Linked DNA regions of Tribolium castaneum. The protein of the gene in region 3 interacts with the protein of the main gene of each other region in a pairwise test. Links are inferred from orthologs where the notes say so. Each region holds a gene or a part of one and is shown on either strand. Other genes may lie near its edges.

Evidence for each region.
Region 1: the proteins of Ubx (region 3) and 14-3-3epsilon interact in a two-hybrid assay, tested with the Drosophila melanogaster proteins (2 studies listed by BioGRID). The link is inferred for Tribolium castaneum from reciprocal best matches to the Drosophila melanogaster genes Ubx and 14-3-3epsilon.
Region 2: the proteins of Ubx (region 3) and Rpn6 interact in a two-hybrid assay, tested with the Drosophila melanogaster proteins (2 studies listed by BioGRID). The link is inferred for Tribolium castaneum from reciprocal best matches to the Drosophila melanogaster genes Ubx and Rpn6.
Region 4: the proteins of Ubx (region 3) and catenin delta-2 interact in a two-hybrid assay, tested with the Drosophila melanogaster proteins (2 studies listed by BioGRID). The link is inferred for Tribolium castaneum from reciprocal best matches to the Drosophila melanogaster genes Ubx and p120ctn.
Region 5: the proteins of Ubx (region 3) and apterous a interact in a protein complementation assay, tested with the Drosophila melanogaster proteins (2 studies listed by BioGRID). The link is inferred for Tribolium castaneum from reciprocal best matches to the Drosophila melanogaster genes Ubx and ap.
Region 6: the proteins of Ubx (region 3) and noc interact in a two-hybrid assay, tested with the Drosophila melanogaster proteins (2 studies listed by BioGRID, with this or other methods). The link is inferred for Tribolium castaneum from reciprocal best matches to the Drosophila melanogaster genes Ubx and noc.
Region 7: the proteins of Ubx (region 3) and dsh interact in a two-hybrid assay, tested with the Drosophila melanogaster proteins (2 studies listed by BioGRID). The link is inferred for Tribolium castaneum from reciprocal best matches to the Drosophila melanogaster genes Ubx and dsh.

The regions. Positions count from the first base shown.
Region 1 is NC_087401.1:11,229,008-11,233,609, forward strand, and holds the start of 14-3-3epsilon (14-3-3 protein epsilon), read right to left. Parts: upstream 3,003-4,602; 5' UTR 2,900-3,002; coding exon 2,836-2,899; intron 1-2,835. UniProt on the Drosophila melanogaster protein: Positively regulates Ras-mediated pathways. Acts downstream or parallel to Raf, but upstream of nuclear factors in Ras signaling. Three mutants have been isolated, that suppress the rough eye phenotype caused by mutated Ras1 (sev-Ras1 v12).
Region 2 is NC_087395.1:22,742,287-22,746,482, reverse strand, and holds Rpn6 (26S proteasome non-ATPase regulatory subunit 11), read right to left. Parts: upstream 2,654-4,196; 5' UTR 2,485-2,653; coding exon 1,353-2,484; intron 1,298-1,352; coding exon 1,176-1,297; 3' UTR 841-1,175; downstream 1-840. Other genes in the region: uncharacterized protein LOC103314281, read left to right, coding at 781-837; uncharacterized protein LOC103314280, read right to left, coding at 4,179-4,196.
Region 3 is NC_087397.1:7,100,706-7,105,650, reverse strand, and holds the start of Ubx (ultrabithorax), read left to right. Parts: upstream 1-1,964; coding exon 1,965-2,601; intron 2,602-4,945. UniProt on the Drosophila melanogaster protein: Sequence-specific transcription factor which is part of a developmental regulatory system that provides cells with specific positional identities on the anterior-posterior axis. Binds the consensus region 5'-TTAAT[GT][GA]-3'.
Region 4 is NC_087403.1:4,511,939-4,516,633, forward strand, and holds the start of catenin delta-2, read left to right. Parts: upstream 1-1,463; 5' UTR 1,464-1,751; intron 1,752-2,163; 5' UTR 2,164-2,230; intron 2,231-2,425; 5' UTR 2,426-2,450; coding exon 2,451-2,482; intron 2,483-2,672; coding exon 2,673-2,738; intron 2,739-2,929; coding exon 2,930-2,971; intron 2,972-3,057; coding exon 3,058-4,649; intron 4,650-4,694; coding exon 4,695-4,695. Other genes in the region: AP-1mu (AP-1 complex subunit mu-1), read right to left, coding at 1-198, 245-1,015, 1,062-1,103.
Region 5 is NC_087394.1:3,057,746-3,062,359, forward strand, and holds the start of apterous a, read left to right. Parts: upstream 1-1,472; 5' UTR 1,473-1,647; coding exon 1,648-1,695; intron 1,696-4,614. UniProt on the Drosophila melanogaster protein: Required for the normal development of the wing and halter imaginal disks.
Region 6 is NC_087397.1:7,793,588-7,797,945, forward strand, and holds noc (zinc finger protein Noc), read left to right. Parts: upstream 1-1,690; 5' UTR 1,691-1,841; coding exon 1,842-1,928; intron 1,929-1,985; coding exon 1,986-3,302; 3' UTR 3,303-3,610; downstream 3,611-4,358. UniProt on the Drosophila melanogaster protein: May negatively regulate Notch-induced cell proliferation in the eye-head primordium. Required for development of the supraesophageal ganglion and ocelli.
Region 7 is NC_087401.1:8,569,051-8,572,912, reverse strand, and holds part of dsh (segment polarity protein dishevelled homolog DVL-3), read right to left. Parts: intron 2,342-3,862; coding exon 2,231-2,341; intron 2,179-2,230; coding exon 1,690-2,178; intron 1-1,689.

The DNA.
Region 1 (4,602 bases), on a different chromosome or scaffold from region 3:
CTTAAAATCTATTCCAATTTTCTTGAGTGATAAACTGACAGTACTGTACAGGATGTTGCATTTTGGATGGGCGAATAGGCTCCAAAACTAAGAGGTTTAGAGAAAAACGCGTGACACATTCTCGGGTCCTTTTTTTGAGAGAATCATTTTGGTCAAAACCGCATTTCGCTATCGTCTTTTGTTTTCGACTTATAAACAAAAGTTGACATTTTAGTGAAATCTTAAAAAAAAAACATCTTCCTTATTATAAAAGATACACATTTAAAACAAAGACATTATACAGGCACTTTTTGCCAAAGAATTTAATAATGTTATCAGCAATTTTTTTTAATCATTCGTTTAGCTGTAATAACATAAAGTTGTATTTTTTTTAAATGAGAATCATAGTTGACTATGACATTTTTGAAAAGCTTATTTTTTTCTGATTTGATATGTCTATTTGTCTTATTGTTTTCTGAACTCAAAACAACATAAATATAGTGAGATATTTTTATATATTTTTGATAAAAAAAATTTAAATTTTTTAAAGTAGTTGGCCATGGAAAAATTATTTCACATAAAAGGTGTGAATAATCTAGAAAGTTTGTGAACGGTTTTTAAAGTAAAAAATGTGAAATTATCAAAATAAGCTATGTTAAAGTTATTTTCAATTGAATAAATATACGAGCGTCGCAGATTTTAATTACATAAAAAATGTACAGAAAATAGCAAACGATATGTCACTACCATTTGATGTCACTTTTTTATGATTTAGTAAAGTGCAATGGAGGTGACATTGATAATGTTGTATATTTTTTTACTGCAGGTGGAATTTGATTTTGGAGTTTGAATTGTCATTTTTTTGTAAAATAAAATTTTATTGATGCGCAATCATAAGATTTTTCTTCTTCCGTCATTGCATGTTTAAAATTTGAAAATATGTAGAAATACAACGTAAGCTTGCCATTTTATATAAAAACAAATAATTTTTATTAATTGCAAAAATTTGATCTAATAAAAATTTATTATGCTGTTTTTGAATTAATTAGGGTTTAAAAAATCATCAAATTATAATTACTGTTAGGTAATACAATTTTCATAGTTTTAATTACAAATCCAAAATTTTTTCATGGCCAACTATAAAGAAAAAGCGAAATGTTTTGTTTTTTCTTAATTATTTAAATTTAACGTATGACACAAATAGACATTAAATCAGAAAAAAATAAGCTTTTCGAAAATGTCATTGCCAACTATGATTCCTATTTAAAAAAAATATAACTTTATGTTATTACAGTTAAACGAATGGTTGAAAAAAATCGCTGATAACATTATTAGATTCTCTGAAAAAAAGTGCCTGTATAATGTATTTTTTTCAAATGTGTATCTTTTATAATAAGGAAGATATGATTTTTTTAAGATTTCGCTAAAATGTCAACTTCTGTTGAGATTTAAAATTATTTTCTCAAAAAACGAAGGCTGGTTTCCAGTGAGCAAAGGCGTTTATTAATCGGTGTTTCAATTTTCAATAGAATTTTTCGCTTTCGTAACACATTTGTTCATTAAAATGCGTTTTGTACTTTCTCATCATTTACATCACGTTATTTGATTACTCATCGAGCATAACACAAACTTGAAATTTAAACAGGACATTCAACTCAGTCTTCCCTTATTGATAAGAGAATCGATCAGTTGATAAAAATGAATTATCGTTTCTCGGTGAATTACCGGGAATTAAATTACATCTATAAAACTGTCCAAACTAATCCAACCTGTTATAAAACAATGTACAATCAAATGCAATAAAATTGTCCAAACATGGCAACTTGTCACATTTTTTCGATATCTATCAACTTCGACAAAAATGGTGAGGTGGATGAATCACCAGCCAAACGCAATGTTGGTACATTTCCGGCTTAATTAATATTTCACAAATGTTGAATGTAAAAGCCGGTGACATTTTTGACGCATTTTTTGTTAACTGTTGACAAAGTAAAAAAACTAATTTCGTCGTTGCAATAATTTAAGTTCAAGGACTTGACGACATACGAAACTGTCAACAGTTTGTGTTTGTTTGTGATAACACCATCGACTTTGTTTACTTTCTATTTTGTAAAATTAAAAATTGAATAACTTTAGTTGCATTTAAATTTTAAAACAAGTAGGCCATTGTATCGACAATTTCACTCCTTCTGACTGTACTTATTAGTGATTTTTAAATGCCAACTGTGTAACGTAAAACGTAAAAAATTCACCGTTTGTATTAAAAATTGACGCGATGAAAAATTTAGGCAAGAACTCTCCCGTTTTTACGTCTCGCCGTTTCGTGAGCGAACAAATAATTCAATAAAATGTTTACCCCCCAAACCCCCTAAATTTCGCAGTCAAGTTACCCGCCCCCGACGTGCATCTTTTGTTGGTAATTTCGGTAAATCCTCATTCTTCTCTGCGATTATCGATTGGCATTCGCCGCCGCCGTCGCGCTGCCACCCCCGACCCCTGTGCAGGCCGCCCTCAAAAATCAATCCCGTTTTAAAAATGCAGCGTAAAATTCCGCCGCAAATGGGACAAGGTCGGGGGCAGAATCCGCCACCCCCATCACGTGACGCACGTGCAAAACCGGAAGTTACGCAATAGGCAGTGGGCCGGTGTCGCGAAAATTCTGACATTTGGCTTTTTTCCGGCGGGGGCTGCGGGGCCGGGCGCCGATCGATGAGTCACCCGCGCGGAATGCACACGGGGGCGCAGCCCCGCCGCCGCCCGGGCGCGGGGCACCCCCGCGGCGGAAAATGGAGGAGCGTCCCGAGATGATGGCCGTTTGGGCCGGGAGGAGGCCGAATCGGGGGGAAATATACGCACCATCGTAACGTTCGGCCTGTTCTGCCAATTTCGCCTTGTAGACGTTATCCTCCCGTTCAGACATTTTGCGATGATTATCGATAGAAATTTCACAACACTAAAAAACACAGACACTCAACGTACTGCCAATATGGCCGCGCCCGCCACACTAAACCCGAACGCGATCGGACGCACATCGGCTGCCTCCGGCCCACGTCACAATGGCGCCAAATTGAATAAATAATTATTTAATCCTGCTTATCTTTCACACACTGCATGCCACAATAATTAAATTATGCGTCCTAATGGACAGCATTCGATTGACAATAAGGGACTGTTTTTAGAAGCGTCGTTTCCAGATCAGGGGAATTGGACCAATCAGATGCTCAGATTTACGAACTAATGCCAGTTTAAATTTTAATCACTGATTAGAAGACGCTTTACGGCTACTTTGGTGTTAACTGAGTGTGTTTATACAGAAGTAGAGCAAAAATAACAATTTAGGCCACTTAAAAATACAGATAAAAAATTTATGCACAAATAGGGGATTTCCGAAACTAAAAGGTTTAGAGAAAAACAAGACACATTTTCCGGTCCGCTTTTTGAGAAAATAATTTTGGTCAAAACCGCATCTCGCTATAGTTTTTTGTTTTCGACTTATAAACAAAAGTTGATATTTTGGCCAAATGTTAAAAAATTTATATCTTCCTTATTATAAAATATAGACATTTGAAACAAAGACGTTATATGGCTTTTTTTTATAGAGAATTTAATTATGGTATCAGTGAATTTTTTTAATAAATCGTTTAGCTGTAATAACATAAAGTTGTATTTCTTTAAATAGAAATCATAGTTGGCTATGACATTTTCGAAAAGCTTATTTTTTTTTAAACTGAAAATAATATAAATACAGTTTGATATTTTTATATATTTTTGATAAAAAATATATTTAAAATATTTGAAAGCAGTTGGCCATGGAAAAATTATTTCACATAAAAGGTGTGAATAATCTAGAAATTTTGTGAACGGTTATTAAAGTAAAAAAATGTGAAATTATGAAAATAATCTATGTTTAAGTTATTTCCAATTGAACAAATAATACGATCGTTGCAGAATTTAATACATAAAAAAGCAAAAAAATTGAAAACAATGTGTCACTACCATTTGATGACTTAGTGAAGTGCAATGTAGTATTTTTTTACCGCAGATGAGATTTAATTTTGGTGTTTGGATTGAGATTTTTTTGTAAAATAAAATAATAATAAATAAATAAAATTTATTATATTATATATTGACAGGCAATCATACAATTAATAAGATTTTTTTTCCGACATTACTGTAAAGAAAAAGCGAAATCTTGTTATTTTTTAATATGTAAAAATAATGTGTTACACAAATAGACATATCAAATCAGAAAAAATAAACTTCAAAAATATCACAGCCTCCTATGATTCCAATTTAAAAAATAAAACTGTTATTACAGCTAAACGAATGTTAAAAAAATCGCTGATAACATTATTAAATTCTCTGTAAAAAAATTAATCTGTGCTCTGAGCTTAGTTCTTCAAAATTTATTAGAATGCGCTAAAATTGGCAAAAACAAAAAAATAAGTCTTGCCATAAAAAAATTATAAAAAGTTCTCCATAGTAGTTCTGTTACCTCATAAGGTCATAAGTTTACAAGGTTAAAGGGTGGGTTTATGGAAGCATCAATAACTCATTAATCCGCGATTAAATGCCTGATCACCTGACCAAATTGGGCCAATCAGACGCTCTCATTCACACCTT
Region 2 (4,196 bases), on a different chromosome or scaffold from region 3:
TTATACGTAATATTATTTTTAAATAATAAGGTCCGTAATTTTGGCAGATGTAACTTCAAATGGCCTGGAACTTCCACTGTTTTACTTTAAGGTGACCAATTTCCGAAAATTCAAAATAGGAACGTTAATATTGATGAAAATATAAAGTGTGTAACACATATTGACACAATAAGCGATGAAAAACGTTAGCAACGTGATGGGATTTTTTTCCATTTTAAGACATGGGATAATTAACACGTCCGTGAATGGAAAAATCATTTTCATGACGAGTTGAACACAAGGCTGGAAAATGAGTGCACGTAATTTTTGCTTGAGTTTATCATTAAGGTTTGAAATAATTTTCCTTATTTTTTATTCACTGGATAATTACAATCACATCGTAAAGTTTTATAGCACATTTTCCTTGGCATTTTGTGAACGATTCTGAAAAAACAATTTAATTCAAGCTGCGCTTAACCGATGTCGCGGCTATTTCGCATTAACTCTTTGTGTCCATTGGCTGCTTATTTAAAAATTTGCCGATTTCTCCCACACATGTTTAAAAATAAGCCAACCTTGCTGATTTATGCACTTAATATTCTGCGTATGTTTTGCTCTAATTTTACGTTGTTTTAATTGAATGGATTATTGTTGCTGGTGTAGTAGTTTTCATCGTACCCCACGTGACGCGGTTCCTTTGTTTATCGATATCGGGTCATTGTTTTAGGCAAGGAGAGCGCAATGAGTCAGTCGTTTGCCAAATTATGCATAGGTTTTGTCCTAAATGACATTGTATTTCAGGCGCTAAAAATAAGAGGGAAGAAGCGGAGGAAAAAACCGAGGAAAAAACAAACTTAAGACTCTTACTATAAATAACATTTTATTGTGGCCTTTTTACATTGTTTAAGCATAATTATCAAAATACAACTCGAATGAAAAACTTATTGTTTTATTTTCCGTCCAAAAAACACACAATTGTACAAATGATCGAAAAATGCATTTTTTTGGAATTTTTTATAAAAGCAGTTAAAAACCCAACCTTGAACAATGTTAATAAGATTTGTTATGTACACCTAAGAGTTAGTTGGGAGGGGACTGTTAATAACACGGAGTATATGGTAGAATTTTCGAATGTAGGAAAAATACAGTCTGTTTTACTTTATTTTTCATTTTTTTAAATAATAATTACAAATAGCCTATGACAACTTTTTAGCCTTTTGATAAAGCGTATCTACTACTTTGCTCATACTTTGTATTGTTTCTAGCGCCATTTCATATGTTTTATCTACAGGAGTTTCTTCGAAAACAATTAAGACACCTAAAAGTCAGAGAATAAACAGTGAGTGGGTTTGACAAATTGCAGTTTTGTTTACCTTCTCCTTGGTCCAAGATGCCGTGAAATTTGGCGTCTAGAATCATCTGCGACAGCTTCTTCTCGACCTGTGGCATGGGCAGCTTTATCGTTTTGGCGACGTAATCGACCTGGACTCGCGAATAAGGCTCAATAATCCGGCAGAGGTTCTGTTCGAGCATATTGTCGTATAACGTCCCGAGATGTGCTCTGACGATGACGTCGTCCTCGAGCTCGTGTTTGAACTGTTTGACGGCCTGCTGGAAGTCGGCGAGCGACCTTTTGTGTGAGGCTTGTGCGACGGCCTTCATGGCATCGATGTCCTTCCCTGCGTACTTGATCGCCAGCTTCCCGCTGACGATCTGCTGCACGTCCTCCGGGTTATTGAGCATGATCTTGGACAAGAGCATGTACTTGAGCGCGGTCAGCGCCTTGGGGGACTCCACGCTGTCGAAGCCCTCGAAGGCCTCGTAGAAGTACGAGTAGGCGGTCTTGAAGTCCTTCTCGTCGGCCGCGTGCAGGATGCCCGACTGGAGGTCCAAGGCGGCCTGCATCTTGGGGGGGCAGTAGATCGCGTTGGCCGTCGTCCTGGCCGAGGTGAGGGCCGCGCGCGCCTTGGGCAGGTTGCTGAGGGCGTGATATGTCTTGCTCTCCAGGAGCTGCACCTCCACGAGGAGGTTCTTGTCGTCGAGCTTCTTCAGCTCCTTGAGGAGCGTGGAGCCGAGCTGGAGGGCCTCCGTGAACATCCCGGTGTCGAAGTAGAGGGCGATGAGGCGCGCCTCGAGGCTCTGTCGCAGGAAGGTCCTGCGCTCCTCCTTGGCCCACTCGATGCACTCCTTGCACAGCTGCACCTCGATCCCGATGCCCGCCTCCAGGTCGAGGAAGAAGTCGACGAGGGAGCGCACCAGTTTCGCCGCCTTCGCCTTGCTTATCATGCTCAGGAAGGGTCGGGTGGCTTTGATCAGCTCGGCGAGTTCCTTGGCCTTACCTTCCTTCTTGTACTGCTCGCCCAGGTTGAGGATGTCTTGTTCTTTACTTTTGATATTTTCTTCGTCATTGTCGGGGTCTTCGCTGGCACGTTTCAGTTTCAGGAGTTTCTCGTGGTTCGAATTTGGAACAGATTGCGCTCTTTCAAACAACATTGCACCCGCCATATTAGTTGTCTAGAAAAGCACTGTCATTCAAACAGACATGTCCGCGAAAATAGACGGCGGTGGCTAAAGTCACAACACCGTGTCAAATATTCACTGTTTCACGCAATTTTGAACGCATTTTGCACCCCAGAGGCCCCAAAGTGACAGTCTGACTTGCAAACACCAATTTTGAAAATTCTTACTGAAACCAACTTGTTTCCAAGCGACTTTTTGTGCCAACAATTGTTTGTTGTATAGTTGATTGCATAACTAACAGCGGCATTTTCCATTATTTAAAATTCACAACCGGATGAAATAACTTCTTGGTAAAGTTTTATGTAATACTGTACAAATACCAGTTCCGGCAACTTTATCGCGTATCCAGAAAACCACGACTTCTAATGAAATAAAATTCTTGAAATTTTGATTGATAATTATTATTTTTTTGTTAATAAATAAAGCCAAGTTTTTTATTTAAAAGGTCTTTTTATTTAAACGCAATCCAAACGCGTGATTTATTAAAAGATAGTAATTTTCTAACAAACCTTTTTACAGTCTCGCAATAAAATTGACAAAAACTGATGCATTCAAATATCTCAACGAAATCTTTTACAATCCTACCCCAGTTACAGTTCATATTGTCTCCTAAATTTACGAGGCCACCAAGTAGCAGTTCATAAAACAAATTTTTAAACAAACAAAGAGTTAAACAGAATAACTAATTGTCTAACTAGGGAAGAAAGACACGATTATAGACCGTTTTTCCTCTTTCAATACTCACAAGCTCAAAATAAGGAAAAGCAAAAGCAAAAAAATACCATTTCCGAACTTATTTGGTATTTTTGCTTTATTTTTGGCAAAATTTTGTTAAATAATTGGATTTGTAATTCAAACTGTTTTTCGAATAAGTGTCGTAGGTATTTTATTGGCTCATTTTTCGTAAAATTTAATGCGTCTTTGGTTGAAAAACTCGCTATAACTTTGGAAAAAAACAACAATCATTATCTAATGCAATGACTTTTAAGTAAGTTCAGTTTCCGTAAAAGTTAATAAACTCTTGAAAAAGGCTAAAACAAGACAACTTCCGATTTGATTTGGTGATTTTTGGTCAGGCTTAACGAAGTCTTGTTGTATAACGCGCTTAAGCTATCGAAAAATGCTAGAATTATATAATTTAAATTCGACTCATATCTTTGTGACGTTCGGCTTATTTTTTACGAAACTTCACGAAATAATTGCGTCTCTGGCGGAAAAACGAGCTGAAACTATAAAAAGGACTAAAGACCTAATTTACAAGAGTTCATTATGATTTAGTTCAAAAACCTTATAAGAAGTAAATGCTGAAATAACCATTTTACACCTGATTTAGGTATTTTTCATATGGTTTCTCGAAATAAGGCTTTTTTGAACGAAGAAACCTGCTAGAACAGTTTAAAATGCTAGAGCAATGCAATTTTTCGCCCCGATTTAGCGAAAAATGTGCTTAAAAACTTTTGAAAACACAAAATCCTGGGTCTGTCAGGTGCCTTTATTGTGTTCTAAGATTTCAAAAGCAAAATGCATAGTCTTGATTGGGATAATTATGTGTGTAATGTGATAAATAAATCCACTTCTATACTAAAAATACTTTATTTCTAAAAATTATGACAAGCACGTATAAAAACACTAAATTTAAGTCAGTATTGAGCAATTCCTAAAATTTGTACAGCACCAGATCATGCCTCGCTTGACTG
Region 3 (4,945 bases):
TACCGGCTATTATAGTAGCTATTATGTGCTCGTAAAAATACAATAAACTTTCGTTCGGCCAAATTCATCCTTATGTCGAGAAGTGTTTGGAAAGTGTCAAGTTCGGCACTTTCAATATGCAAGGAGGTAAGACAGCAATAAAAGTTGATTTTATTACGATTTGAGTGATCGTAAATGTCACCTACGACCATGGCAAAATTATGACACCGCCACTCCATAAAGTGCCAGGAGCGTGCCAATGCCGTAAAATTTTTACTACTGGTTTGTGTAAACTGTAATAATCTGGCCTTTTTCCGTCCCCGCCCTCGGAACCTCAACCATTCAGTAACGACAAGAGGATAAGAGCAAAAGGGATTTATTTAAACACCCGGACGGGCTTTTTCCTATTTTGTTATTGACGACTCATTGTAGTATATACTACCTATTATCAGGATAACATTAAATTATTATTGGTTGTTAATAATTTTACTGTTTACTGAATAGAAATTTATTACATTATTATTTGTTTTTATTTGTTTGAAGAAAATATTTATACATACCTAGATCCTAGATCTACTATTGTTGGGAGATTTTTGTAGTTAGAATAATTCCAGTAGAGACACTTCTATAATTTTTTTGAACTAATTAATCCGTTTGGAATGGGGTACGAGTATTTTTCGATGAGATTTGATTTGGATTAGGTATGTGCACGAAGAAAAAACGGTCCAAAATAATTTAGTTTTATTAGTTTGAATGTTTTTCGGGCAGTAAAATTTACAAAAGCACATTCATTCAAATGCAATTTAAGTTTATTGTATTTTGGGAACACAGAAAAGTAGGTACATTAAGGTAGTATATTAAAACCCTTACTCGAAAATGAGCAACAATTAACTTTAGCTTTGGTTTTTATACCGACATGGTACAGTGTAAGATGAAGTCAAAAAAGCGAGAATGTTTTAATAGGTACCTGAAGCAGTAACAAAGGGCTGAATGCATACCGCTCTTTATACAGCCTAAAAACATTTAAAAAAATGGAGTGTTTCTTTGATTTTAACTTGTTTAGCGGTTGGAGTCTGATTTGTTGCCTAAAAAATCAAGTGCGATGAAAAGTTACAGAACAAGATCTTATCTACCCGTCGTCAATAAATCTTACTGTTTTAGTTGAATATTAATATAAAATTACGTACTGTTTTTAGAAATTGTGAATTTAATTGTTTTAACAAACCAAATAGACATTAAAATTGTGATGCAGAATGCAAAAAAATAATAAATAAAATAAGCTTTCCTTTTTGTACTTTAACGGTGAATATATTGAGGGTTTGGCAGCGGAATCAGAGTATTTTAAATGTAGCGTTTACTTTTCGATGATTTTGTTTATATTGGTGGTGTGATGGTCGTTTTATCTTTTATTGGCAATTGATGTTGCTCGTTTCGGCAAGAGTGTCGTTTTGAAAGGTTGAGCAATTGTCCGAGAGCTGGCGCCACGCGCCTCCCCTCTTCGTCTCGTTGGGGGCCACTTGCGCAATGCTTGAAGGCTGTGACGAATTCAATTGCTATTGGTTCATGTATGATCCCTTCCATTAGAGCGTCTTCGTGTAGAAGCACGTGCTCTAGGGGTTATTACGGCCTTCGCGACCCTTCTGGAGGAAACCTAGCCTTTGGAGAAGCCGGTCAGGCGCTAATTAGGTGCGACCGTGTCCGATCGGCCGACAATACAGGTAGCTGCAATAATGAGCCGCGTGCTCGTCCGGAGTGGGGGGAGAGGGGAGCGATGGGCCGGGATGTGTGGGCCGGAGCAGACTCCGGAGCTCCAGTGGGTTCCCATCCGCGAGCAAAGTAGCCAACGTGTGCATTCCGGAGCGAGCTGCTGTGTGGTGTGCTCGTGCGAGCTCTTATCACCTTATCACTCTCGCTAATAACAATAATAATAATCGTGTGACTGTCATGTCCGGTTCCGGTGTCGAGTGACTTGTGCCGCCCCCAGCATGAACTCTTACTTCGAGCAGAGCGGCTTCTACGGCAGCCACCACCACCAGAGCGGGTCGGTGGCGGGCCACCACCACGAGCAGTCGGCGGCGGCGGCGGCGGCCTACCGCTCCTTCCCGCTGTCGCTCGGCATGTCCCCGTACGCCTCCAGCCAGCACCACCACCACCACCTGCAGGCGCGGCCCCCGCAGGACTCGCCGTACGACGCCTCGGTGGCGGCCGCCTGCAAGCTCTACTCCTCCGAGGGCCAGCAGAACTCCAACTACTCCTCCAACTCGAAGCCGGACTGCTCCAAAGGCAACGCCGACCAGAACGGATACGCCTCGGTGGTGGCGGCGGCCGCGGTCAAGGACGTTTGGCAAAGTGCGACTTCTGGCGGTGGCGCTAATCTCACGAACAGTTTGACGGGGCCGGTCAGGCCGGCGGCATGCACGCCGGACTCCAGGGTTGGCTACGGGTCGGTCGGGCTCGTCGGCGGAGATCCGGCCTCGAGTCCGGGGGCGGCCGCAGGACGGACGGGCAACTCGCTCTCGTGGAATAACCCCTGCAGTATCAACTCGACCTCTTCGCAGCCCGTTGGCACGCAGATACACCAGCAGACCAACCACACGTTTTACCCCTGGATGGCCATTGCAGGTTGGTGATAGGTCTAAGCCTACGGACTCCTGCTGCGGACGCTATTTGCAGGAAACGCGCTAACTCCGGCCGAATCGCACGCCGTTCAAACGTGCACCACACTGTAACATTTCAAAAGCACAAACCAAAAATGTTTCATTCATTGCTGTGACACTAAAAAAATGTCATTTCAAAATACCAAACGTGAAAATAATAGTCGTTTCTAAACACATAGTGCGAATCAAAAGTCAAGAATAAATTTTTTTGGCGGGAGATTTTTTTAAAAATTTCGAGCAAACTGTTTGTTTCCGGGTTTTTATTGTACCTACTTTTTGGACCACCACGGTTCAAGTTACGATTTTATTAACTAGTTATATTTAAAGACAGTATGTTTAGTTACGACTTTTTTTATTTATATCTCCATTAAAAAAATAATAGTTAATAATAATTAATTAAGAAACGAACTTTTTACATAATAAATGTTCTAAATAGTTTTGCCGAAAAACAGATTTTTAGTAAGTTTGTAAACGATTTTTTAACTGAATATCTTTCTAGTCGTCCGGAAAATGATTTATATTAATGATTAAATAAATTATTTATCTGTATCTATTTTTCCTAAATTTCTGGTGGGTATTCTTTGATTCAAAAATAAATTTCTTGGCACAATATGACGAACCGTTTTATTTTATTATTTGTGATTCATCTTCGTCGTCTGCTTCCTCTATTTTCTAAAATTAAAATTTTATATAATTTCAGTCGATAGTAAAGTACGTTAAATTAGTAATTTATTTGGGAATGTTAAAGTTGCCGACGTACAACACCATAAATTTTGTTTATTTTTTCAATGATTTGTCATTCATAATTTGTGCCTTATTTATTGCCGCTGGAACTACTTAATTATCTATTGCAAAATAAAATAAATTTGAATAAACAAAATTTTTTGTGCTAATTGTTGCCCTTTGGCCCGTGCGCGCGATGTCCGCACCTCAAAGTTATGTAAATGTTGAACCTGCAGCGAAGTCAAGTGCGTGTAAAATCAGGGTTGAATTGCCACATCTCTGTCCCTCAGTCGAATTTCTCTGTTCTCGTCCTCGTCGAACAAATCGGGTCCTTGTCAGAGCACGAGGGACGATCAGCTGTTCGCCTATTTGGCCGTCTAGACGCCTTTGAAATGAGCACGTCCTATATTCCCGTAAAAAAATCGTCCGCTTTGACCAAAATAATCCGTGTTTTGAGTTCGGCGTTCGTAATTCTCAAGTCTTGGGTCAATGGAATATAATTTGGTTAAGGTCGTTTCATATTTCGGGAGGACATCGCTAACGAGCCGACAAAAAATTTCGTTCGGTCGTTATTGCGAGACGCTCTATTCATACGCTGGAGAGTAATGAGTTGATGGCGAACTCTAATGTTCAAAGGTATATCTTTTCGAAATTACTACAACGTCGCTGAAGAATTATTGATTGAAGAAGCGGCTGTGGTTTTCACGGGCCGCCGATTGCTTAAATTGTTTTTATTTATAGTTTGATTTATTAGCGCTATTGCCGCCAACGCACGATCTACTACACTTATGTTATCGCGCTATACAGGGAGGACGATTAAAAGCGTGTTCGGAGATGATTCCGACGGATTTTATTTATTAGAGAAACTCGTATGTCAAAGTTCAATCTTCTATAACAACATCATAAATTCGCAAAATTTGCATAAAGCTACAACGTTCTTTTATTTTATTTCATTTTATTAACATAACAGGACGGAAATGGGAAAAGTACCAAAATTTTTCAAATTTTTCCTGACTAAAAAAAATTGGCAACTGTAACATGATCCCATAGTGTTGGGCACGTCACTCAGATGGCGCCCTCATCCACTTTCATAATTTAACCAGAGGGGTCCGTCAGGTACAAGGGGCCGACCCTCGCCTGTTCAAAAAGTGCCATTCAATATGAGCGCTTCCTTATTTTTCGTATAAGACTTTGAGAGCGTTCCACTCTGTATATTTCCTCATTCACATGATAATTCCTTCGTCTACCGCGCCGGAGTCCCGGACTTGTCCCGAATTGTGCCGGACTCAGTCCGGATGAGCGATGACGTATTACCGTGGCCCAGTCAGTTACACCCCCTTTTGTATTTTGCTCGCTACGGACCGCACCAAAAACATTTGCTTGTTTCTTCCACCAAGGTATTAGCGTAGGTCAGGTGTCTCATTCGGGGATGTTTCACTGTTTCTCGTTCGACTGTGACGAAATCGGCACCGATCTGAAACTGATAAACGGCCAAGTGAGAATGATTCATAGGTGGACGAAAATGCACCCGACGGGGGTTGCTTTCGGACGAACGCGCCTTCTTGCCTCCACATGAAACCGCATCG
Region 4 (4,695 bases), on a different chromosome or scaffold from region 3:
TTGCTCAGGGGCGTATTTGACGCTCCCGATCGTAGTTTTGAACTTGGGCGAGTCCGCGTCGTGGGGCACCGGAATGACGATTTCGACGTTGTTGGCCGTCGAGCGGCGCTTGAACTGCGACTTCGCCTTGATCATGTACTCGACACGGCTGTGTGCGTGCCGTTCGATGACAGATTCGATCCAAATTAGCGGCTTCACCTAGAGAAAATGATCATTTTGGGGAGTTAAATCGATTGTTACGAACATGTGTGTTCAAACGGTAGGACATGAGTTCGAATTCGCCGTCCGGCGGGATGAAGGATATGGTCCTGTCGATTTCAAACCGCGATAGTCTGACACATTGGTGGAATTTGACGTCCTCTAGCTCGACCGATTTTGATTTTCCGCGACCGGTGCTTTCGAATAATACTTTATCGTTCAGACCCAGACGCAGTTCAGGCATGCCGGAGAGATAGACCCTCATTTTGATGGCCCCCACGATCTCGCTGCGTAGGACGTTACCGTTCGCGTTAGCTAAGAGATTGACGGACTCTATCACGTCTAAAAATACTTCGTTTTTCCTATACTTGATGCCTTCCGAACGCCACGAAACCGCATTAGTTACAGCAACGGGAATGCGTGGCTGTATTTCCAACTTGTGGCCCTCTTGTGTGATATACTCTTGTAAAATCTTACTGTCAGTGGTTTGGGGGTAACCGAAATCGAGCAATTCGTCCAGTAGTTCATAAATAACGACGAAGTTGTCCCTAATACTCTCCTCCTCAAGCTCCTTGAAATACTCAGTCATGACTTGCACAATCTTGTGCAAGAAAACGAAAACTAGCGCAATGTTGGCGTTCTTCTTGGTGGTGCTCACAATGTACAGGTTGTTTGTCTTGATGTAGGCAAAGGTGCAATCGCCAGTTTGGAGCAGAGGGGTGAGCAGCCCCTCCTCCTCCTTTTCCATAAGTAAAGGCATGAACTTCTCTATCACCCCCAAGTCTATATCGCCCCGATAGTTCCGTGAAATAAGGACCTAAAACGCAATTGTCCGACCACTGTGGCACCTTCTACACCCTCACCTTGCCCTTAACGTCGAGAATGTAAATAGCTGACGACGACATTATTAGTGTGGAGGATGATTAGTGCCAGAAAATTCTTCAATCGGGCCGTCAGATCGCAATCATGTCTAACGAGACGTTAGATTTGTTAAAATTGAATAAAACACGATTTTGAGCCACTAACCACCGTCATCACATTTCTTGGTTACGCTACAACCTGTCATTAAAGCGGTTGGTGTACCTGTAGCGCGCTATTCAAACCGCGATTTTAAATTGATTAATTTTGCAAATTTCGGTGATTGTTAGCGCCGTACGAGCCTTGTCCCGTCCTAGTGGCCCACAAGCGATGCTTTGGACCTGTTTTTGGTCGCTGTGGGCGCCCCAAACCCTTCGTTATCGCTCAACTCCTATGCAAGTTTCGATTAAAGCTGCAGTTACCCAGCATGCATCATGAGTGGGAGTGATGTCTGACTGGTGCCGTAAGCGAAGTCGTCTGTTCATTGTTAAAAGCGCAAATTAAGGGGAGTTTTGGCCCGGATTAGTTCTCAAACTAAGTTTGGCTCATTTTTTGCATCGGACTCAGTCAAGAAATGTGACGAAAGGGTCATTTTTGCGGCGAACGAGTGACAGTAGTGGCGGCTCTCTGGTGACGTATTCTCCATTGTACCTCTTGTGTGCCTCGACCTTATAGACTCTAGGAAAACATGAAAGGTACGTCGGAGGTGTTTTGCGCCGGAAATAACCGCATTTACGGATAAAGTACATGAGATAAGGTGGCCCCAAGTCCCGTGAGTCAATTTGCGGAAACATGCATTTGCGGCTTTTAGGTCGCCACTTTACTACAAACCATGGAATGTAAACACTCTAGCCCCGCCCCACCACATAACTATTGTCATTTATAAATCAATTCCTTATTTTCCTTTAAATCGTTTCGGAATATATCCTTCAGAACCTCATTTGTGAGCAGTTTCGACTATTACGGACACCAAAAAAATTAAGTAAAAATTGGGAGGTGCGACGTTAGGATTTTTCCCACGAATTGTATGGTGCGATTTAAAGAGAAATCAAAAATGAAGTACTACATCGCAAATTTCTCGTTTTAATTATTGCTGCTTTCTTTCAGAATGCAACCTAATGGCTAAGAGAAAAGCACAGTGTTTAATATTGAACAGATTTTAATAATTCGAGAGGTATGTGCTTGGTCTTTATTTGGTTATATTGTATCACTTTTCACTTTAACCCACTAACATAACATCTCGTGTCAAAGCGCACTAGAATTATGTTTGTTTCAATGTTTGTGATTTTATTTTGAAATGAATATAATTCGAATCGTTCGATTTCATTTAGTTGCTTATGTCTAATGTCTGTTTGCATGTATGTCACAGGAAAAAATAAGTAACAGCTTTCATCATGTCTGGTAATCAGCTTATGGATTCTTGTCTGTAAGTAGCGTACAAACCGACTAATCATTTACTTGTACTTATCATTTACTGGAATGTAGTGTTTCAAACAACTGATAAAACATCTTGACTAATTTTCCAATAAACATTAGTGTTTTTTATTGACTTAGTTTTTGCACGACATTAAAATGTTATCGCTTCGCTAAAACATTGATTGCTTTTACACTGGCAGCCTGGTGAATCGTCGAGTGGAGCAAAGACAAGAGCACAGCATCACACATACTGAAATCACGCAAAGGTAGGGGGTTCATTCACATCTTGCTTATTCTATTTGCAACTGAATCGCTCATCTTTCGGGATTTTTATTAATCATCACTTAATTATGTCTACCACAAATGCGCTTGGCCCAAATTCTCTTAGGGCCAGTTTTTGTGGTGGTTTAAACGTGTCAAAAGTGTCATTCATCATGCTCATTTTTATTGTTTCTAGGCGAGTATTGCAAGAGAAGGTCCCCGAAATGCAGCATTATAAGTAAGTTGGCTGCATGCGGTTTTGAGAGTATTCTAATGTTTTAGATATCGGTAACGTTCTTATAATTGTGTCTGGTTTGTGTGCAGGGGTTCGGACGCCTCAAGTTCTGTAAACGAAGGAGTCTATCATACGCATAGCAATGGCCATTCAGAACATTCACCAAATTCGAGCCATATGTCTGTTCATAGTGACGAGCCTTTAGTACGCACACATAAGCAACAAACCACTCAGCAAGTGACCACTGTGACCAAAGTCGTACGCGAGGTGCAACAGCTCGGAGAAGCTCAACCGGGAGAGTACATCCCAGTGCCCTTGGGCTCGTACCCCCATTCCGGGCACCCCAGGAGTCAGTACGTTGATTATATGGAACAGCCGGCCCACCATATGTATTCGCAATATCACCAACACCCACACTATCAAGACTACGAGCACTACCCTAACCCGTATGGGGCGTATATGGGGTACCCCCCGGGGGCCGAGCGCCCCCCGACGCCCCCTAGTCCGAGCGAGCACAGCGGCGCGCCCTCCCCCATACCGATAAGTGCACAGCCAGGAGTTCAATATTTGAGCTCCGGCTATGACGAATTGCCTGAACATTTTAGGGTGACTCCGTCGCCTGGGGGTCCAATCGTAGGCTTAGATCCGTACCAGGACGACCCTGGAGTCGTCTACGGGTACGTCTCACCTTCACCCTACGGCACCGCCCCTGTACACCAAGGACCAACTTACGACTCACGTCCATATGAAGATAGTCTAAACGGTCCAGTACCGGTCGGAGCCCCCATGCGAATGTTCGAGGACGAAGAATTACAAAAACATATGAGCAAAATGTCCCTACATGGACATAGTATGGCCCTGCCACACAACCGGGCCCATAATATGGCGTCCCCGGGCAGTGTAGGTGGAGACGACGACCAGAGGGGCATGCGTTGGCGCGATCCGAATCTGACTGAAGTCATTGGTTTCCTTAATAATCCTAATAATGTTATCAAAGCTAATGCAGCGGCCTATCTTCAACATCTCTGTTATATGGATGACCCCAATAAACAAAAGACTAGAGCTCTCGGCGGCATACCTCCCCTTGTTAAACTATTAAGTCACGAAAGCGTAGAAGTTTATAGAAATGCATGCGGCGCATTGAGAAACCTTTCGTACGGAAGACAAAACGACGAAAACAAAAGAGCTATTAAAAATTCCGGGGGAATCCCCGCCTTAATTAACCTTCTAAGAAGATCCAACGAAGCCGAAATCAAAGAACTCGTCACGGGAGTTATATGGAATATGAGCTCATGCGAAGACCTCAAACGTAATATAATCGACGATGGGATTAGTACTGTCGTCACCTACATAATAATCCCACATTCGGGATGGGACCCGCAAGGAAACCACGGGGAAACTTGCTGGTCCACAGTATTCAGAAACGCTTCAGGTGTGCTTCGAAATGTTAGTTCGGCTGGTGAATACGCGAGGAAGAGATTAAGGGAATGTGAAGGACTGGTTGATGCGTTGTTGTTTGTTGTACGCTGTGCCATAGACAAATCTAACATAGGCAATAAAATCGTCGAGAATTGCGTCTGTATCTTGCGCAACCTATCCTACCGTTGCCAGGAAGTCGAAGACCCCAATTACGATAAGAATCCTCTACCAACCCAAAGTAGGATCGCCGCGAATTCGAAAGGTGTGTATCTTCGCGTATTGAAACTCCTCTAACTGAAAATTCTAGG
Region 5 (4,614 bases), on a different chromosome or scaffold from region 3:
GTTCGACATAAAAAATATAACTCAAAAAATATTAGAAATATGGCGAATTTCTCAACGGCTGTCGATTCCTCGAATCATTTCACATAGATTTTTATTAAATTTGTTTTGTTGAAAAACATAAAAACAATACAAATTTTTAAAGTGTTACAAGAAATATTATTAAAACTTATACTCTATTTTAAAGTGTTCTTTACGATTAAGTAAAACGTTTTGTTCTAGCTCTTTTTAGATTCGCTGTAATCGGCGTAATATGTAGATAGGTAGTTATAGGCAATTAGCCCCTATAGTTAACTATCCCCGGTCTCCTCTACTTACAACATTGAATTTTTTTTTCAGTATATCGTCTTGAAACATATTTCATTTTACAGTTTTTTAAGCCAGTATTAATGGTACTTATGAAACATTTCAATTTTTGAAATTTTTAGCTAAAATTTGAATTTTTATTTCTACTATAATGACTATAATGGTTTTATACAATTTAATTCATTTCACTTTAAACGAAAGCAAATTGTTTTCAGGTATTTTAGTGTTTTAGTATAAATTCAAAAATATATTTGTATACCAATATTTTTTTGGATAATTTTGACAATGCAGTTCCGTTTCTTTATTGGTTCATAGTAGGTAAGTAACACTATTTACTCCTAATGTCTTTCTTATCATTGTCTAAGTGTTTTTATGTTCTTATTATGCTTAGATAAAGATAACAAAATTTATTGGAGACACTCAGTCTACTTTAGTAGCGTTCCAAAAAGATAAACCAATTTTTGGAATAAATTTGTTTTTTACTTTATTTAATTAGACTTGAAAGCTTCATCTGTCTTCTAGCCGACCTATCATAACAATTTTTCATTTTTTCCATCATTTACGTATGTACCAACCTGTAACACCTTTATCTTCCACTTGGATGTCTTACAAACCCGCTTTATCGCATATCAAAATGATTAAGTGCATTCTCCATAAAATGTGATATGTAAACCACCGCTGACAACTGCTATCTCACCAGAACAAAACCTCCAATTACCGCCAACGCGATAAAACTAACAAAGTCGTAAAAATCCCTACAACTCCATTCATGAAACCGCAAACAAATGAACTCATCATCAGGCTTGCTCGCGCTATAATTACCACTCCACCCCCACCCTCGTGACAATCGCATCCCTTGCATTTGTCTCCAACATAAACAAATACGAAGGCTTCGCTTATAGGACAGCACCTCCCTTCCACTCCCCGCTAACCCCACCCTTTACCCTAAGGCGGGGCTTAAACTTTTCGCCTTCTCACATGCGCAAGAGACCAGCCGCCTGCGATCCGTCTGAGTGCGCGGACGCTCAAAACAAGTGTGTAACGCTATTACACACGCACTCTTGGACGTTGTAATATAGTGATGTAAATCGAGTGACATGCGCAGCGATTTTTTTACACAAGTGTTTGTTTACGGCACTAAGTCGGTACCGGGTGTGCGGGAACTATTCAATTACCAGTGACGTAGCGAGTGATGTGACATTGTTTTAAATTTTTTTTTTTGGTTGATGTGACAGTGGCCACAGTGTTGGGTTAAGGGTTGTGTCTGTGGGGGTTGTTGAAGGCGCAGTGACGGAAGAAGCTTCGGAAAAGTACGAAACGTCACCGGGTCTGCCGTCACTGCAGATGGGAGTGTTTGAAGAAAGAGCTTCTCACACGCCCGGGATGCATTGGGTAAGTGGCGGTAGGCCCTGGAAGCCCAAAGCACACCCGACGGATCTTTTCCTCAGTTTTATGTTTACTTTTTTGACTTTCTTATTACCTCCATTTATTCTATATTTGTTGAACCGGTCTCGAAGAGTGAGTTTTTCATTCATGAAATGAAATTGTTTCTCGTTAAGACGTACCTACAATTACAACCTCATTAAATCTAGTCGTCCATGCTCGAACAAAAACTATTTTGACATTTGGATCAAAAAACATAGCCTGCTCTGGACAAATTAGGAATGCTGCCATTTATGGAGCGTAAATGAGCCAACTTCGATTTTAATATTTATGTCATATGTGATGGGATTTTTAACCAGCGGTTGAGGAAGCAGGCCATGGACGAATCGAATCAAAAATTGTAGTTTTTTTGCAAAAAAGTCGGGTATTAAGTAGCCAAATTGACTCTATTATTATCAGGTAGAAGGTCGCCATTAATTACCGAAAGTTATGGGTTTGTGATGGTACGGATGGGATTAAAGACAGTTGAAGGTCGATGGTGGGATATTCCGAAACCAAGAACCTCAAATCATTTGTTTTACTATACATATTTTTTTTATTAAATTTCCGGTCAGGCACTGCCAACTTAAACCAGAAGTCACAGGTCACTTTGATAAGAAACTATGATGAACACCCTGTATACCTAACTAGGTACTACATTTTTTGGAATTGAAATTGGTATGTCACAAGAACAAAACAATTTTTTTTTCCTAAAAACAGACAAAAAAATTAATTTCAAAATGTTAAGTAGTCAAAACAAAAACAATTTTTTTATTATTGATTGGTTTGTAACTTTGGAAGTTAGCAACATTGTGAAAATTGGACAAATGTCATACATTTTTAATAGTCACAGGCTACTATGATTAGGAGTTAATTGAACACTCTGTATACTTATAGTTTTTGAATAATTAAAAAAGTTGTCAGAGTGAGAAAGTTTGTTCATCAATTAAAATAACTTTTCTCTCTTAAAAAGAACAAGTTAATATTAAGTTACAAAATTAAAATATTCAGTCAGAGAAAATAGGCCAGGTTTCACCTTAAGAAACATAAGCTGGCGTTTGTTATTCAAGAACAAGTAAAGAATTAATTTTTTTAAATAATTATCTGCTAATTCTCAGAAAAAATTTACAAAATTTAAACTGTCACGGGTTACTTTGATCGAAAACATTTTTTGCTTTTTTCCAAGAAAAATGTGAATAAACGAGAAATAGCTTTAAAAATTGTCCCACCTTAAGCAACAAAAATACCGTTTTCCATCTAACAAATAACAGGATTAATTTTTACTATTAATAAAATCAAACAATTTAATTTTTTTACTATTATTTTATTGACTAACCCATAAATTATTTTTATGAGTACTTAAAATTAACCGTAATTGACTTAAACGTCGATAAAATATGGAATTAAGATTTTTATTGCAAATTAGAATATTTTAAATATCTTGATTTTTGGAATTGTACGAGTAGTTAATGTTGTTGTATATTTGAGGCAAGCTTTGCCTGGCAAACACCCCAGTGAGAGTGAACATGTCCTCTCTATGGGAGGGTTGGTCATTGTCTGGCATTAGAAAGCAAATTTGTCAAGATTTAGCATTCTGCCTTTTGTGTGTTTCTTTTGTGGCCAAAGAAGGTGAAATAATCTTCTTTAAGAAGAATTTTTATTTATCTTCAATTGACACTGGTTTTGCCTGTTTTCGCTCCGAATTCTTGTACTTCTAAACCAGCAAATGCACGAACTAATAAGGCTATAATTTAAATATAAGTCGAAATTAGCGTAACACCGCCTGATTCATATAATTCACACAGCCATCGTTCTAATAAATATTTATAAGTTTAAGCTGTTTTTGATAAAACGTACTATTTAAACAGTTTATGTAATAGCTTAATCGGGTGTTATTTGGCGTAGAAATCTTTTGTGTGAATCACTCTAATTAATTTTAATAAATAAATAAAAAAGCAAAAGTCAATTAATCCAAATTAGCATCGGCCCTAGAAGGTGGTAACGGTGAAAAAATGCAAATCATGCATGACATATGGCGCTGAAACGTGAAATTTGACAGTTGCGTCACTCTCCATATCTCCAGCAGTCGTAGAACAGGAAATTTATTCGAATTTAAAACACCGAAAAAAGCTTTTGATGAGAAACACTAAACCGCCGGCTACTGAATTTTAATTTCCATCAAGTATCTCCGTTTTAGTGGCCATAAAGCGGACGTCTCCGAAAATAATTAACATCCACTGTCATAACTAATTTGTCGCCATTTCCAGCGTGGGAAAGCGGAATCATAATTAAAAGTGTTATTTCGAAAATTTGTCAATGATTTTGTAGGGGGTGTTTTTTTGAACCACCCTCGTATATACCACAACAAAACGAGTTTTCTGTCATAGGGGGTTTTAATTTTTTTTAAACAAACAAAATGCCGGTACATATTTTAGTAAATAAACCATTGTATTCCCCGACGAATATTTTTCACTGTAATGTAGTGATTTGAGTTTTTTTGATAGTGAATTTGTTGGTTTTGCTGCTGAAATAAATTTTTTTGATGATTTGTTTGAATTCGCGAATGTCGGAAAATTGGTTGGAACGCTGCTGCATTGTGGAGCAAGGCGGCTGTGAGGAGTGATAGCGTTGTTTGTTTTACTCGTCTGGGGTCACCGCGATCTGTCTGTTGGAGATACTCTCTTTCGGGGTCAAGTTTTCAACTCTATGGACACCCTGTCTCTGCGATTAACATATTAGTCAAGATAAAGGCAGATTTGTTACTAAGTGAGCTGGGGGACAGGGACGGATTCAAGGCCGAGGGCCCGGATGGATTATGATGGCACAATGGACGTCACTCTGACACGCGCTTCTTGGAAGGAGGATGTCCAAGTGTATTATTCTTCGAAA
Region 6 (4,358 bases), about 690 kb from region 3:
GCAGCGAGATTTCAATGAGGCCTCATCGATTCTCCATCAATCCTTTTAAAATTTTTATCAGATCGGTGCATGTCATAAGTTATTTATCAAGTTTTTTCTTGTTTCATTAAATAGTCACGGCTACAAGTTTGCGAGAGATTGGCTGTTTTTTGACGGTGAATTAGACTCGTAACGTTTGAGTTATTTTTATGAACGCTTGCAACGATGTGGTCGTCATCGTTAGTGGTCGTTAATGCTTGTAGGTGCAAGAGAGACGACTCCACGACCATCATTAACGATAACCATCGCGCCTGCCACAGTCCTCTCCAAAGACAAATGAAGGTGCGAGCTGACAGCGAGCCCATTTAGTCGGGAAGTCGTAATTATAAGGCGTGGTGGTAGAAAAAGGTGATGGGGCATCGTCTAAGCACCGTTAACCAAACAAGGATGAAGGCGGCTTGTCCGATTCGACTTTTTTAATGTTTCAGGAGATTGGTTATTAAGATTTCAGTTTAATTAATAACCAACACCTTCCTACTAGAATAAATAACCTTCTTCACTATTTTATTGTCAGACTTTTTCAACATGCCTATCCACATTATTACCAAAATTACAAAACCAAAAAATATTTAATAGCACCCAACGACCACTTTAGTAGTTTATTATCGTAAATAACAAGTTTGGTACAACATTTAGGCCCACAACAACGCAATCACCGAAGGTGGAAGGTGGAAGGTGGATCGCTACTTTTTTTGTTACTCGATTTTGTCTTCAAGAAGACAGTATATGCTCTACTAGGCAACCAAGTTCGATCTAAAAAAGACAATTACCTACATATTGGTCTCACCTAATTTCAGCTTATTTGTTTTTTGCTTTTTTAGTTATGTGTGTCGAAAACTGACGGGTTTCCAAATTGATATTTATCGAACTTGTTAAATCTCGTGTTATGTCGAAATTGTTAAGCGAAGGAAGAACAACAATCTGTCAGGTGTTGTTAATTAATTATACGTCGGGTTTTTATCGAAAGGAAATAAAACACCATTTAAATTAATTAAAAAAATATATTTACGACTCGTTATAAAGGAGGCAAACATCCATTCAAATGAGATATTATTTTTAAATTATGTAGCTAATTAACAGTGATTTCTAATGGGTTTGCTACGACTATTATTAATAGAAGCCGACGTGTTTATCGGCAAATCTGTCAGGTCGATGATGAAAGGCGTGAAATGATTTATGACGTTATTAGGTAATATCCTTGGTGAGAATTCGATTGTTCTCAAAAGGCGTCTCCTAATTAGCCCCTGAGATTTTAACGTTTTCTCCAACTAGTGTTTGCGATAGCATCAAGCATAGATAAAATGTATCTTGACAAGTTTATAAAAGTTATGACAGCTGGAGTAGACGGAACCATAAAATAAATAAAGCTCAACCGTATTTTACGACCGACAGGTTGTAATAACTTCGCAGTGAACTGCGCCACCATCCATCCGTCATCATTGTGCTTTTGGTTTGTTGTTCATTTCCCGTATTTCGTTCGCTACTGCCTGTTTAAGGGCGGCTAACATCAAAGCATCCAGAAGGTCTGTCGTCGTCACCAACTTCATGGGTGGTAGAAACCGACAGGCCAGAAACGTGGCTGTATTAGCGCTTTGTCATGCTAGGACTTTCAGCAGGGCTGCAAAGCCTGGAGGGGCTGCCAAACCTGCGCAATAGCCTCTCGTTTAGAGAGCGGAGCTCTGTTGCCTTCAGACTTTCATACTGGAGTTGTCCGTCGTGTGAAAGCTAGTTTGCGCTCGTGTTCCGTCAGTTTATTAATCGTGTAATTGTTTTTATCCGCCGTAAACGTGCATTTATTCCAAATGGTTGTGTTGGAGGGTGGAGGCATGCTGTCAACGTCCGGAAATCAATATTTGCAGCCGGATTACCTATCACCGTTACCCACTACGGTAAGAGCGCTATTTGCTAACACTGAATCCTTGGTTGAATGCAAATTTATTTTTCAGTTGGATGCTAAGAAAAGTCCGTTGGCACTCCTCGCCCAAACATGCAGTCAAATAGGAGCAGACACTCCATCGTCCAAGCCTTTGATTTCTCCATTGGAGAAACCAAAGAAGTCGCAAGAGAATTCGACGCGTTCGCCTCCGGTAAAAAACGATAAGAGTGCTCAAAGAAACACACCGACTGAAAATAAGCTCGCTTTTAAACCATATGAAAATAATGTTGTTACGAAAAAAAGCGAAGACAACCGGCCTAACTCTAAATCAGGATCCACTCATCAAAATTCGACACCAAGTGACGAGAAGAAATCAGAAACGCAAAGTCCTGAACGGAAGTCAGTGTCACCAGCAACCAGCACCGCTGCGACACCGGCCCCCGAAACAGGGAAAACTTCTCCAGGTTCGAGTGAAAACAAATCTTCAACTCCGTCGGCTCGTGGTGCAAGCCCCATCATCAGATCCGGTCTGGAAATTCTGCAAGGACATCCGAAGGATACACCTTTGGGGGCGTACAAACACGGTGCTTTATCGTCCGGGTTATCGTCAGGACTGAACGGCCCTTTGGGATCGCTGTGTTGTCCTCCCGGACTCGAACACACGAATCCGGCTTTTAGGCCCCCGTTTCCCGGAGCTCCGTTTTCGCACCACCATGCCGCCATGCTCGCTGCCGGCTATCCGGGAGCCACTCCGGGACCGTACTTGAGTTACGCGCGTGTCAAAACTCCATCAGGTGGTGAAGCTTTAGTTCCAGTGTGTAAAGACCCTTATTGCACCAGTTGCCAATTCAGCATGCACAATCAGCAGTTGTTGATGAGTGGAGCATCTGGCCCTTGTCCCAGTGGCTGCACGCAATGCGACCACCAGAAGTATAATTTGGCCATGGCGATGTCGTTAGTGCCCCCGGGTCCCGTGCCGCCGTCGTCACTTGCTTACCCTCAGCTGGGACGGCCATATGTGTGTAATTGGATAGCGGGGGACACCTACTGCGGGAAGAGGTTCGTCACATCTGAAGAACTGTTGCAACATTTGAGAACACACACGAGTGGGTCTGACGGGTCGGCGGCGGTGACGTCCTCGGCATCGCCTTTACTTAACCCCCATTCGTTGTTCTCGTCGGCGGCGTCGCTCCATAGGCCTGGGTACCCCAATCCTCCACTTAGCCCGTTATCGGCAGCGAGGTATCACCCGTATGGGAAACCCACTCTACCTACCTCTTTGGGAGCTTCGCCATACAGTGCTTTTAATCCGACGGCTCTTGGAGCTTATTACTCTCCGTATTCCGTTTACGGACAACGGCTTGGCGCTGCTGCTGTGCATCCATAGTGATACTTGTAGTAATTTTTCTCATGTTTTGACTCATACAGAATGGCGTCTGTATCGGTCTGTTTGCTCCACTGTGATAACGTGTAAATAATTTTGTCGAAGCTAAAGCTGATTAAAATTAAGTGCAATCTGAAGCGGACTTAATCATAGGGCAATAAGTTATAAAACAGTCCATTTTCTTTCTAAGTTGTTCTCCCGTTTCAACGATACTTTAATCTTTAAATAATTCAATAAAAATATTTGTATAGACTTGTAAGTATTTAATGTTGAGTTTCGATATTGCTTTAATAAAATGTTTGTAGAACGATTGTTGTTATTTTATTTCATTCTCGTGGGGGGAGGAGTAGGGCGCAGGTGAATTGACGGTGCTGGCAGATGGGTGTGAAAGCCGCAATGATGGATTGCCGGCAAGTGACCTTCCCTTGGCATCTCCAATCTCTTGTGTATGATGGATCACCTGAGCACGTCACGAGCTCATTCATCATCGTGTCTTGAGGGTGACGGGCTTGCACGCCACTGCCTACTAATTGAAACCCGTACATTTCGAAATATACCACTTTCTATCAATAAATACATTATCGTCGTCTCCACAAGTTTGTTTTTGTACAGATAACAAACCGTAAAACGTTCATCAAATGACTATATTTCTTTCAAGTGAATCCGTTAACACAGAGGACGTGTTGCTAGACGGTATTGCTTGAGAGATTTACACTGTAACAGGTGTCACTTAAATGAACGAGTTGTTGGAATCGAAACAAACTTAGAAGTGGCAGCGGCCAAATTTTTATAGCACGGAGAAGGATGATCCAATGCCTGTCTGACGAATTGAATGCTAAGAGATTATTATTACTCCGTGTAACTGATTGACAATGGCAGTTCATACTTGTTCTGGGACTTGTGCCAAATGAGCAAAGTGAGTGACAAGATCTGTTGGCATTTGGCTGAAGGAGGTGGCGCTTGTCCAAAATAAACTGTTGGTATTTTTTCAAATAAATCATGTTTCAGAAACTTATTTTTCATTAAATTATAAATGTTATAAATCCGCGCTTTAGCTCT
Region 7 (3,862 bases), on a different chromosome or scaffold from region 3:
TAAAATTTGTAACCAACCTTACAAAAAAATCACAATCATTAGCTTTAAAAGCTACAATTAAAAATGAAAAAATATAGGGTCTTCCATTTAAAAAAACCTAAGTTTGTATTATAGCTCATTTCAGAAACATCCTGTATATTTGAAAATAATTTTAGATGTGGCAGAGGATTAGTATCTACGGTTTAAGAAAAAAAAATTTACTTTTCCAATATTTAGAAGTGAATAATGGACTTTACCAACTCGCTGGGACACCTCTATACTATACTGAAGGGTCTAAAGTGCAGCATTTAATTCCGCTAGCAGAAGGGAATTAGGCACTTTGGTCCCAAGGTATATACGCTATTTTTTGCACTTCCGAGACTAAAATAGTTATCGCACCAAAATACACCTTTTTGGCTCAATTTTGACGAAATTATGCTGAAAAACGGATCTAAAGTACTCCAAAAAGGCTTTTTCTCATTTCCGACCTTTTGATGAGTTCTTTTAGCTCAAAAATGTGCTTAAATGCTGGACTAAGCAGTTTGTCCTTAACCAAATTTCGGAAAATACATTGTGTTTGGACTGTCAAAATATTCGAAAAAAAAAAGAACTATATTTTTAACAAATTTCTTAATTCTCGGCTTTTTTAATGTTTTATATTTTTATTAATTTAAAGTAAAATAGGCTAAAAGAGCTTAGTCGACAATCTCTGACATGCCTCCAAATTACGTTAAATAATAAATAATTAAGTTTGGACAAGAAGTTAGAGAAAATTACAGTTTTCTTTCACTAAAATTTGTCTGAATTCAAAATAAATCTGTCGCAAAGTACTCCGCCTATTATACGAGAACAAATAAAGACAAACAACAAAACCTTGTTTTCTTAAGACTTATACAAAAGCTGAAAAAGTAAGAACCATCTGTATTTTTAAAACAATTTGGCAGTTTTTCGCCTTGTTTTTCCTGAAAATATACTTAAACAATTCAAAAATGTAAAAACGACAATACTTTTGACAAAATTTGGTGATTCTTCGGTCGGTAGTTACATCTGTAACAAGTTCAAATGTTTTTTTGGGTATTTTGTTTATTTAGTGAGCGTAACTATTGAACGTGATTCAGAAATAAACAAATATAGAATCTTGAGGAAAAAATATCAGATTTGCAATTTTTTTTGCTATCTTTTGTTTGCTTCTTACTTTCCTTATTAGTAATTAAATGTTTGGATTTAATCGTTGCAATTTTATTAAAATTCATATTTGTTCTGATTAAACCCAAAAGATAAAAATAATTATCAGTTGTTTTTAAAACTTAAAACAGGTATAAAATACTAGAAGAAGAAAAAGCTAACTTGGTGGTTTTTGGGACAGTTTAACTGAAATCTGGTAAAAATATGCGTAAACGCCTAAACATTGGAAAAAGAAATCTATTCAATTTGACGGTTTCTCAGTTTGTTTTTACCGAAATTCTTGCATTACTATATGACAAACCTGCCAAAACCATTTTATTTTATGAATTTTTAGTGTTTATTTTTTTAACTAATTGTAGGTAAAGTTTTTGAAAAAAATTACGTAAATTACAGTTTCCTGTAATTAAGGTCATCTAAATTCGAAGTATTCCGTTAGCGTTAGCAAATTGATAAATATTTTGTATTTTTTTACAATCTGTTCGTAAGTAAATGAAGTAGATTCCTGTTTTAAAAATAATGACTTACCGCTTCCGCTGAGTACAGACTCCTCCCGATTATACCCATAGACCGTATTTTCGCTAGCCGTATAAAACGGCATTGGCATGTATTCCAACGGATTATACGTCCCACTATACGGCATATAATTCGGTACATTTGGCAAAGGTCCAACCGAATCCGTATCCCCTTGTATTTTCAAATTATTCATCGCCGAACACAAATCTCCGAAAATATAATAACATTGTTCCGAAAACGTTATTTTATTCACTGTATGTCTTATAAATCCGGCTTTGAGTAAATGTGACGCGTATTTACGAGCGTCGCGACGCTCCTGAAAGCCGTCAACATGCGTCAACAACCAATCGATCATATCTGTACCGATAAACGCATTCGGTATTGTTATTTTCAACCACATACGATCGCGGATTTCTAAACCGCTATCGGGCCGTTGCATGGCTTGAACCACCGTCGCCATGGGCGTATTCACCGTCAGGGGCTCTTCCAAATCGGGGAAACCTTCAATTACAAAAAAAATTAAAAAAAAATTACAGACACCTGTAAAACATACGTTCGTTTGCCGGAATTGTACTCGTGATAGAAGTACTCGAAACGGTCGAACTACTCGGGGGCCGCGCCACCGGGTCGCCGCGCACAGCCGCCGTGTGCGCCACCCACGCCCCTAAAAAAATATGAAAAATGTTTTTTATTAGTTTTTATATTTACTTTGCGTTTATAATACGTTTATTAACGTCTATCACTGGTTAAAATCCACAAACTAAAAATATTTTTATTATGCACAGGCTGTTGTATACAGGGTAGTGAACCAAAGTTATATTTTTTTTAAATGGAACACTCTATATAATTTTTATAATTGAAATCTACGCAAAAAAATACTGTAACTTTATATAAACTATTATGAGTCTATTTTTTCGTTCTGGAATTATTTAACTTTTCGTTATAAAAAAGACCAATTTCTCAAAAATCAATGCAAAGTCGCTTATGAATATTTTCCGGCAAATTTGCAACAGAAAAATTCAGAATACCTTGTAGTTTTAGCAAAGAGACGACTTTTAGTTAAAACATGCAGATAATATACAGAGTGTGCCAAACGCAAAAAGTTGAATAAATCTTTTTTTCAAATGGAACTTCCTGTATTTTTTTCATGTATTGATAGCATTTTTGATAAGCTTTCTAACAGTATAAGGTTTGCATAGCAAATTTAAAATATTTCTCGAGATTTAAAAAAAAAGATTTTATTACAAGAAAATTTGTTATCCTAGAATCTAAGTCAAATGATAATTTATTTTTTGATATGTATAAATGTAACCAATTATATTAGTAACCTAATTAGTACTTGATAAATAAATGAATTTTACTCATCAAGAATTAATAATAAAATAAATAAAAAAAGAGAAAAAAACACTTTAAGAAATATTTCAAATTTGCTATTCAAGCCGCATATCATTAGAAAGCTTATGAAAAATGCTATCGATACGTGTAATGAAATACATGGTGTTCCATTAAAAAAATTAGTTATTCAACGTTCTGCGTTTCGGCACACCCTGTACATTATCTACATGTTTCAAGTAAAAGTCGACTATTGCTAAAACTACAGGGTATTCTGAGTTTTTCTGTTGCAAATTTTTCGGTAAATATTCATAAGCGACTTCGCAGCAATTTTTCAAAAATTGGTCTTTTTTATAACGAAAAGTTATAAATCGATTACGTACCCTGTATACTAATTTTAAATACAGTGGGGTCCGGATATAACAAATTGCACTATAAGCGGTAAATTGAAAAGTGTTTATTAGTAGTTATTTTTATTTTACATATGAAATAAAACGAAATAAATAAGTACTTATTGTAAAAAAAACATGAATCCTTTGGGAAACAGTAATAGAGGTTGATTCAAAATGTTGTTGCATAATTTGAATCACAAAAATTCCTCTACAAATGATAATAAATCTAATGGTTTTTGTTGGCCTGTCTCACTTAATAGAAAAATTACAGCTTTCCAAAAAGTCGGTATGAAAAATAATTTTTGGAGAATATCTTCCTTATTGATTATCCAATTATTAAACTTGACAATGTAAGAGACGAAAAGACGCTCTTTAATGTGATGTAAAAGACGCTCTTTAATGTGATGTACACGGAAGTTGTACATTTCCGATTGCAATGCGTCCCTTCCAGTTTTTTGACC